Coturnix japonica: one gene and its partner. The protein of the gene in region 1 interacts with the protein of each later gene in a biochemical or structural test. Links are inferred from orthologs where the notes say so. Each region holds a gene or a part of one and is shown on either strand. Other genes may lie near its edges.

What was found.
Region 2: the proteins of RNF4 (region 1) and UBE2W form a complex in vitro, tested with the Homo sapiens proteins (2 studies listed by BioGRID). The link is inferred for Coturnix japonica from reciprocal best matches to the Homo sapiens genes RNF4 and UBE2W.

The regions. Positions count from the first base shown.
Region 1 is NC_029519.1:74,944,475-74,948,285, reverse strand, and holds part of RNF4 (E3 ubiquitin-protein ligase RNF4), read left to right. Parts: exon of another isoform or gene 1-16; intron 17-43; 5' UTR 44-152; coding exon of another isoform or gene 153-155; 5' UTR 156-202; coding exon 203-211; intron 212-697; coding exon 698-818; intron 819-1,568; coding exon 1,569-1,648; intron 1,649-2,841; coding exon 2,842-2,851; intron 2,852-3,811. UniProt on the Homo sapiens protein: E3 ubiquitin-protein ligase which binds polysumoylated chains covalently attached to proteins and mediates 'Lys-6'-, 'Lys-11'-, 'Lys-48'- and 'Lys-63'-linked polyubiquitination of those substrates and their subsequent targeting to the proteasome for degradation.
Region 2 is NC_029517.1:106,949,434-106,953,975, reverse strand, and holds the start of UBE2W (ubiquitin-conjugating enzyme E2 W), read left to right. Parts: upstream 1-1,635; 5' UTR 1,636-1,738; coding exon 1,739-1,753; intron 1,754-4,542. UniProt on the Homo sapiens protein: Accepts ubiquitin from the E1 complex and catalyzes its covalent attachment to other proteins.

The DNA of each region.
Region 1 (3,811 bases):
CAAGAATTACAGATAGGTAATCTTCTCTCTTCTTTTCTTATAGGTTTGGAAGAACGTCATTCTAAGATACTGAGAAATCTGGACTTTTTAACAGTGTACTGCCTAAAGAAATATAAGGAATTGAGAATTGTAGCTTCCTTGCGTTTAATTTTATGGTATTTATACCTCTTATTTTTTCTGTAACTCTGTATCAAGAAACACCATGAGTACAGTAAGTATTTTACTGATCAATGCAAAAGTGATTCTTAAAATATATTTATCATATTTATATAAATCTTGGTAACAGTTTACTGTAAATACGCTGCAGCACTAATTTGCCATTTAACTTCATGTTCTGTGATACTCAGAAGTTTCTCATCTGTAGGTGCTATAGCAGCGTTTCAGAAATAACTCAGAGCATGAGTGAAAACTGATGGCATTGATTGGCTGGAAGTTAATACCTGGTGTCATTGTGAGCTCATCTTCCCATGTAGACCTTCAGAATGTAGTGTGGCTTTTTCTTTTGTGATTCAGCTGGTGGGAGACCTGGCATGGAGTCTGCTCCTTGATGAGATCAGTTCAGATAGGAGTCATTTACCGCTGTTATATTTATGCTACAGGCTTCTAGCGGTGTGTTTTGTTTACCTTGATGTTGGAAAGGTGGGGGCTGCATTAGTATTACTCCTAAAGAACGTACTAAGGCTTTCTTCTCTCTTAGACTCCAAGAAAGCGCCGTGGAGGATCAGCTAACTCTAGGCAAGCTCAGAAACGAAGCAGACTGATAGCTTCTACCACAGAGATGGCTTCAGAAGGAGAGCCAATAGAACTGGAAGAAAGTGGTAAGCTTTCTTTTGAACTATATAAGAAAACAGGCTTCTCCTGGAGTGCTGGGAATCCACATAATGTGGTTTTGGCCAGTTTCAAGGTCCTTTGAAGGGGAGTGGAAAGCTACTTATTTAACAAAGGACATAGTATGGAAGCAGTGAACAGCAGCAAGCCTACCGACAGCTGTTTAAGATTGTTACTGGGGTGCAATTGCTAATAGGTGAATTAGGTAAGAAAGGTGCATGTGTGTTGCTCGCACATCCAGTTATCTGGTCCGATGCACTCGGGGTTACTGCAGCTGCCACTTCAGATAACAGCAAACTAAATTTGGAAACTTGCAAGTAAATAAATGGCTTCTTGTGGTTTTGCTATGTATTTGGCTTTTGAAAGTTAGATGAGATGTGATACTGGAACACTTACAGCGCAGGACTGGAAAAGAAATATCCTGTTTGATTCATGTTTTAAAGCGTGATAAACGTTCTCCTATATTAGATGAATGTGTTGCTGTGCACCTCTCACAAGATACTGATATATCAGAAAGCACATGAGGTCAGTTAGTTGTGCACTGCAACTTGCAGAAGCTGTTAATACTGTATATATAGACCGCTGACAGCAAAGCTTGAATGAAAAGTTGAGTATGTTACCAAAGAGAAGAGGGATGGGCAGTGTTGTATGATACCTCAGCCTGTTATACACTGTTATACACTGATGGGTAACTTTACTCCTGTGAGCTCTGATTTGTGTTCTAACATTATGTTTTTAAGCTGGTGAAGAAGTAGTAGATCTCACGTGTGAATCTTCTGATCCTGTAGTAGTTGATCTAACTCACAATGATTCTGTTGTGGTAAGTAGTGACATGCTTATCTAAATGCTGTAGTCAAATGAGTTCTGTGTTCTTGCTGCTGATAGAGTCTAAGGATGAGCTGAAAGTTGGCTTTTCAGTACATGCATTCCTTTGAAATGTGTATTGACCTACATTAAGAGATCTGTGCAATACAAGCAAATGGATACACTCCCTGCAGAAGTAAATTTACTCTGTACAACACTGGGCCTCGGGTCATAGCTTACCAGAGCCTTAGATTTTCAGAAGAAAGGCTTCTTAGTTTGTCTTCTGGCATCTCAGTAGGTAGCCTATGTTAAAGGGTTAAAGTGTGGCTCTTATTTAGCATTTCACAGCTCACATCCAATCCCAGATAGACCTATTAATGTATCTGCATCTGTGACTACCACCTGCAGGTGATGAGCACAGTCTGTTGTAGCTTGTTGCTCCCAGTCTTGGGGTTATATTACCCATCATGGGTCATGTAAGTAAATGCCATTTAAAGCTGAAGGTGTGTTGAATATTTCAAAGAAAAAGGCTGATGATTTAAACAGAAAATCAAAGAAGTAGCAGTAAGTCTTCAGCATGACAAATAGGAAGTGTTCAGGCATCTACAAGTTGCCTGAGCAACTAGGAGCTAGTTAAACTTATAGCAAGTCTTTGAAAATTCACTTTTTTGTTACTGTTGTTATTAAAGCTTGAGCAGTATTTGATCCAGTCTGCAGTGTAGTTAATAACGCTGGTTTGGGGATGCCACTGCTGCCTTGTAGAGCCAAAAACAAGCAGCGGGAATAACAGTTTGTTGCTGAGCCAGTACAAGGGGAATGCTGCAATCCTTATAGCATGGTTTGCGTTGCCCTGGCTTTGGTTCCGCTGAATGTAACAGCGGGTTGGTTTTCTGTTTTTCAGCCTCAATCAAGTTGGGGTACTGAAACTGGGGAGCAGAGAGGAGATTAAGATGGCTCCTAAGCTGCCTCCATTTCCTTCCCTTAGCAGCAAAACCCAAAGTAATCGCTTAATAAACGAGTCACTTCTCTGAAACTATTTTAACATTTTGTTAATCAAGATGACATTGTGGTATCCTAAAATTCTTACTTTGCCTTGTTGTTGGTTTCATAGCTATTCGGGTGCTTGTACATAAAACTTCAGTGCATGCTACAGTTTAACTTTATTTTTCTTTTCCCTCCCATGCTGTATGTGTTGGTTCATCGTTGAAGATCGTTGAAGGTGAGTTTCCATTTTACAAGCATCAAGGAATTGTCCTGAACTTTTCCTTTCCCAACAAACATAAGCAGCATGGGTTGAAACTGCTTTCATGGAAAGACAGAGAGCAGTGCTGTAGTACCTGGCCAGCACCTCAGGGAATGGATTCAATCTATATTTCAGAGTCTCTGTGAAAGCTGATGTGAAGTATCTGAAATAAAAGCCACTGGATGTTCTTAGAATACATTTTTCTTCTCCAGTGCAGAAGTTCCATAAGCATGAAGTCATCAGTCACTTGGGTTAGCCTTTGTAGCAGTGGAATATCTGCTTTGAGTAAGACCTTGTTCAAAGGCCTTATTAACCTGTGTTGCACTGAAGGAAATGAGGTAGAAAGATATCAAAGGTCGTGCTGCTTTCATTATGTAGTCTGACACTCCTCAAATGTAGCACTGATCAGTGCTAACAAGTTGGGTGTTTTCTGCCTCAGGTCTAATTGTAGACAAGGTATAACAAAACTAATCCTTTGCACCTTTCAGACCTTATTCTGATTACAATACCCGAGGTGTGTTAATAAGCTGTTGTCTCGCTCCAATTTAGGAGTGAGGCAAAGGTTCTTTTGATATGTTATGCCCAGCGTGAGATTAAGAAGAAGAGCATTCAAATGTTGATCCGACCAGTTTATTGGAAATGATAGACAGCTGAGGGGATGGGGAAGGGAGAGCGACGAATGCCAAAAGCGTAGGGGAGAGCAGCAGCGGAGTAGCAGGCCGCAGATCGATGAAACGCAGAGAAGATGGTCAGAGTAGCGAGGTCTCAGGAAGTGGAGTCTCGGGCAGCGAGGTCCCTCGGAGCAGAGCCTCGAGCAGCAATCCCAGAAGAGATAATAGGCAGCAGTAGGACAACGGTGGAGGGATCTGAGGTCAGATACCTAGATGCCCACAAAACCGTGGTTTGTCCGTGCCCTTTCCAGCCTTCGAGAGATTT
Region 2 (4,542 bases), on another chromosome or scaffold:
GGGCTTCAGGTGTCTATCACGTATGACCGAGAATTGAGGTTGGATTTAGAGGGCAAAACGTATAGGATTCAGCTGACATGGCAATAGTTCTTTCTTCCATCCCTATTTCCATTGGGATGGTTTCATTTCCTACTCAAATCGACATACATTCATTTCTGTCATCAGCAAATTCCTCTGAAGCCTATAGGCTCGTTCCTTTCTGCATCTAGCTCATGGAGCAATGATACTCCCTGCCTTCTGTTGGTCCTTTTATTCAGAGCTCTGGAGTTTGTACGCTTGCTTTACCAACAGTAACACTGCTGACACTGAAACAGTTTGGAATCTGATGCCACATTGTGCTGAGCTTTTGTTTTTCTCCACATAGCCGTTCTCAAAGTTGAAAATACATAAAAATATACTGGAAGGTAACACTTAAAGGTGGAAGCAATACCTTGCATCACATCAAATAATGTGAATACAGAAAGTAAGCAGGCTCTCAGATGTCTCAGACCCATCTTTAGTCCTAACCTTAAGGTGGCAGATTGCAAAGGTAAATATAAACAGAACTATTGTTCAGCCATTTACAGAATCACAGAATTATCAAGGTTGGAAAAGACCTGGCAGATCATCCAGTCCAACCATTACCAATACTTCCTGGCTAAATCATATTCCTCAGCACCACATCCAAGCGTTTCTTGAACACTCCCATGGTCAGTGACTCCACCACCTCCCTGGGCAGTGCATTCCAATGCCTGACTACCCTTTCTGAGCAGTAATACTTCCTAATGTCCAGCCTCAATCTCCCCTGGCGCAGCTTAAAACCATTCCCTCTATTCTGTCATTGATTACACGAGAGAAGAGGCCAACCCCCAGCTCACTACAACCTCCCTTCAGGAAATTATAGAGAGCAATAAGGTCTCCCCTGAGCCGCACCCATTAGGCCACCTCCAAAAGGAAAAGCAGGTGCTGCCTGTGGTGGAGGGGTGATCCAAGAGGGGTCTTTGCAGCCTTTCAATACCTGAAGGGAACTTACACCCAGGAGGGGAGTAAACTCTTTGAAAGGGCTGACAATAGCAGGACACGGGGAAATGGTTTTAAGTTAAAAGAGGGAAGATTTAGGTTGGATGTTAGGGGGAAGTTCTTCACTAGGAGAGTGGTTAGGCCCTGGAACAGGCTGCCCAAGGAGGTTGTGGATGCCCCGTCCTTGGAGGTGTTCAAGACCAGGTTGGACGGGGCCCTGGGCAACCTGATCTAGTAAAGGTGTATGTTTGGTGGCCCTGCCAGGCAGGGGGGTTGGAACTACATGATCCTTGAGGTCCCTTCCAACCCGGCTCATTCTGTGATTCTGTGATCACCATCAAGTACAGGCGTGAGGGGGCTCATAATGTCCGTGTTACATCCAGCAAGGCCGGCTGTGAGCAGCCAACCCCCCCTCAGGGGGGGGTCCCCGCTCCCCTGCTCAGCCGGCGTTTCCCAACGGCCTCCGCACGCGCGGCCGCCTCACGGCACCCAGCCGGGCAGCCCCTCCGCCGGCTGCAACCGGAGGCGGCCATCGGCCCGCGCCGGCTCTTCACCCCTCCCACACATCGAGGGCAGCGACACCAAGGACAAAACCCGCCCGCCCTCCTTGCCACAGAGCTCCGGCGCCCGCCCGCCCCGCCTCTTCCCGGCGCATGCGCGGCGGGGAGGGAGACGGGCGCGCGGTGCTGCGTGTGTGAGGGTGCGGGCTGGCGGCGCGGCGGGAGGGGGAGGATCTATCATGGCGTCCATGCAGGTGAGCAGCCTGCGGCGGGGCCGGCTGCGGGGCCGGGAGCCGGAGCGAGACGTCGCCCGAGCGGCGGGAGTTCTCTGAGGGAGCGGTGCGGGTGGTTGAGGGGAGTCCGGCGGTTCCGTATGGAGGGAGCGAGAGGGGTCCGGCGGAGGGGCGAGCTGAGGTGTGAGGCCGGGGCCCGGCTGTGGAGAGGGGAGGCGGGAAGACAGCGGCCCTGTGGGGAGCGAGCTGCTCCGGGAAGGGAGGCCCAGCGGGGATGGCCCCGACCCGGAAAGTCCTCGGAGGTGAGGTGAGGTGAGGGGGGTGGAGGGGAGGCCCCGGTATCGTCTCTGTCCCTTGGTGGGGTTTGGGGAAGCCGAGGGGTTTGCTGGGGGTGGGGGGGACGCAGGGGCAGCCCTTCGAGACCCCGTTAGGTCGGTGATAAGGACGTGGGCAGGGGATCCGTCTGTGTGGGGCTGTGATTGTCGCCGACGGGGGGGCTGCGACAGCGCTCGGACCCGCGTGGCCCCGTTGTCCCCTCTCTGTGTAAAACGAGATCGTGATGCAGCTTCAGTCCTGCGGGCAGCTGGTTTGGCTGGGGTGGATGGATGGGGCCGCTGGAGGTACGGTGCTGTGAAACACCCTGCTGCTTGACAGGTCTTTCCAGCTGAATTATTTATTCATACCTGCTCCGAAGGAGTGAGTCTTAAATAGTAGTTGCAGAAATTGCTCTGCAAGAATGGCTCGCTTTCACTGTGTGCTGTTTGGAGTGGATGGGGATTTACTGTGACGTGCCCAGGACAAAGGATCACTGGGTTTGGTGGCTGTAGCCTCTGTCTATTCTTACCTCACCTGTAACTGCTCTGCTTTACCTTATTTCTTTTCACATTGCATTTAAATGTAGGTGGTTGAATGCTTCTGTTTTCTATCTCCAGTTGCTGTTTCTTTTCTTGTTTTCATTCTGGTAATTTTTTTTTTTTTTGTCGCTGCTAATTGGACAACCCTGGAGTGTAGAAATAATCAGATTAATTGTCCTGATAGCCTGGCTTTAGTATTAGTGAGAGTTAAAATGTCAGAACGGTGAACCTTACGGGGTAAAAATTCTACCGGTGATGTTGAGCGCCATAAAAATAACTGTGTGTCTCTCTGAGTTATTGAGATGAAACGGGATCAAGAACTCGAACGCACTTGAACATACTGTACAGAACGTTCTTGATTTAGCAGTACTTTAGACAGATAGTCTGATGCGTCTTTGATTTATCAGCTTAATCTGGCAGATGCGTTTTTGTCATGCTTTTTTTTTTATGGTTAAACTTCGCGACCTCAAGTGCAGAATTGAGGCAGTCATTCATGAAGCAGAACCTTTTATAAGATTCGGGCTGGACATTAGGAAGTATTACTCCTCAGAAAGGGTAGTCAGGCATTGGAATGCACTGCCCAGGGAGGTGGTGGAGTCTTTGACCATGGGGGTGTTCAAGGAGTGTCTGGATGTTGTGTTGATGAATATGATTTAGCCGGGAAGTATTGGTTATGGTTGGACTAGATGATCTTCTAGGTCTTTTCCAACCTTGATAATTCTGTGATAAAGCGAGAAAGGGAGTTATAAAGGGAGAAAAACAATATAGGGAAGTTACAGTTCTGAAACATGAAGGAGGGAGACGGTCTATGGGCCTCAGTATGGCTGTGCTGTTGTATTTGGCCTATAAAATGACCTTCTGTAGCTTGCATCACCCTTGTTTCCTTTTGATCCCTTTTAAAAAGAGAAATAGTGATTATAAAAAGTGAGGCTGTTTAGGAGGCAGGAATGACAAATATTGGCTCCATAGCGGGTTGTGTGGAGGTTGTTCCCTTCCTGTAAACATGGCTATCGTAGGGCTGATGTTGTAATTGCTTCCGTTTGAGATGTAGTTGCTGTAAGATCATGCTTTAAATTGTGTCCTCTCGTCTCTTGATGAGACAAATTTACGGAGCTCCTTATGTTTGTTTATATCCTGCTATTTGTATAACGTTCTGAAATAATGACTTTTTTCCTTGAATTTTAGGCATTTGCTTACGCTATATTAAAAATCTAGATAAATGGAAAAGAAATTCCTTAGGAACTGTTGTTCTGAGTAAGTGGGAAACCTAGACCTGTGTGCTGTAAAGATGCAAGCTGCCCAATTTGGACCCTTATACTGGTGAACAAGATATGAAGGCTCTGAATTACAGAATCACACAATGACCCGGGTTGGAAGGGACCTCAAGGATCATGTAGTTCCAACCCCCCTGCCTGGCAGGGCCACCAAACATACACATTTACTAGATCAGGTTGCCCAGGGCCCCGTCCAACCTGGCCTTGAAATTGGAATTCTTCCAGCGAAGAACATTTAACAAACAAAGGAAGCTGCTGCGTGTAATTCTAAGTGATTTTTCCATTCGGTGTTATTGAATTAATCGGTGCTAACATTTAATATGCGAGTCTGTGAGCATACTGTTATGGCATCGTCATTGGTATTTCTAATAAGCACGGTCCGTTGGTACTTAGAAGACATTTCAGTCTTGTTTTAAGCTGCCATAATTTTATATAACGATATAATGCTCATGGTGAATTAGACTTTGGTTTTAGGTATTCACCAGAATTTCTGTGATCAGATCAAAGAAATGCAGGCATCCTAGGAAGAAAGCTTTGAAACTGTGTCAGAATCACAGCATTGTAGGGGTTGGAAGGGACCTCTAGAGATCATCGAGTCCAACCCCCCTGCCAAAGCAGGTTTCCTACACCACATCACACAGGTAGGTGTCCAGGCGGGTCTTGAATATCTCCAGAGAAGGAG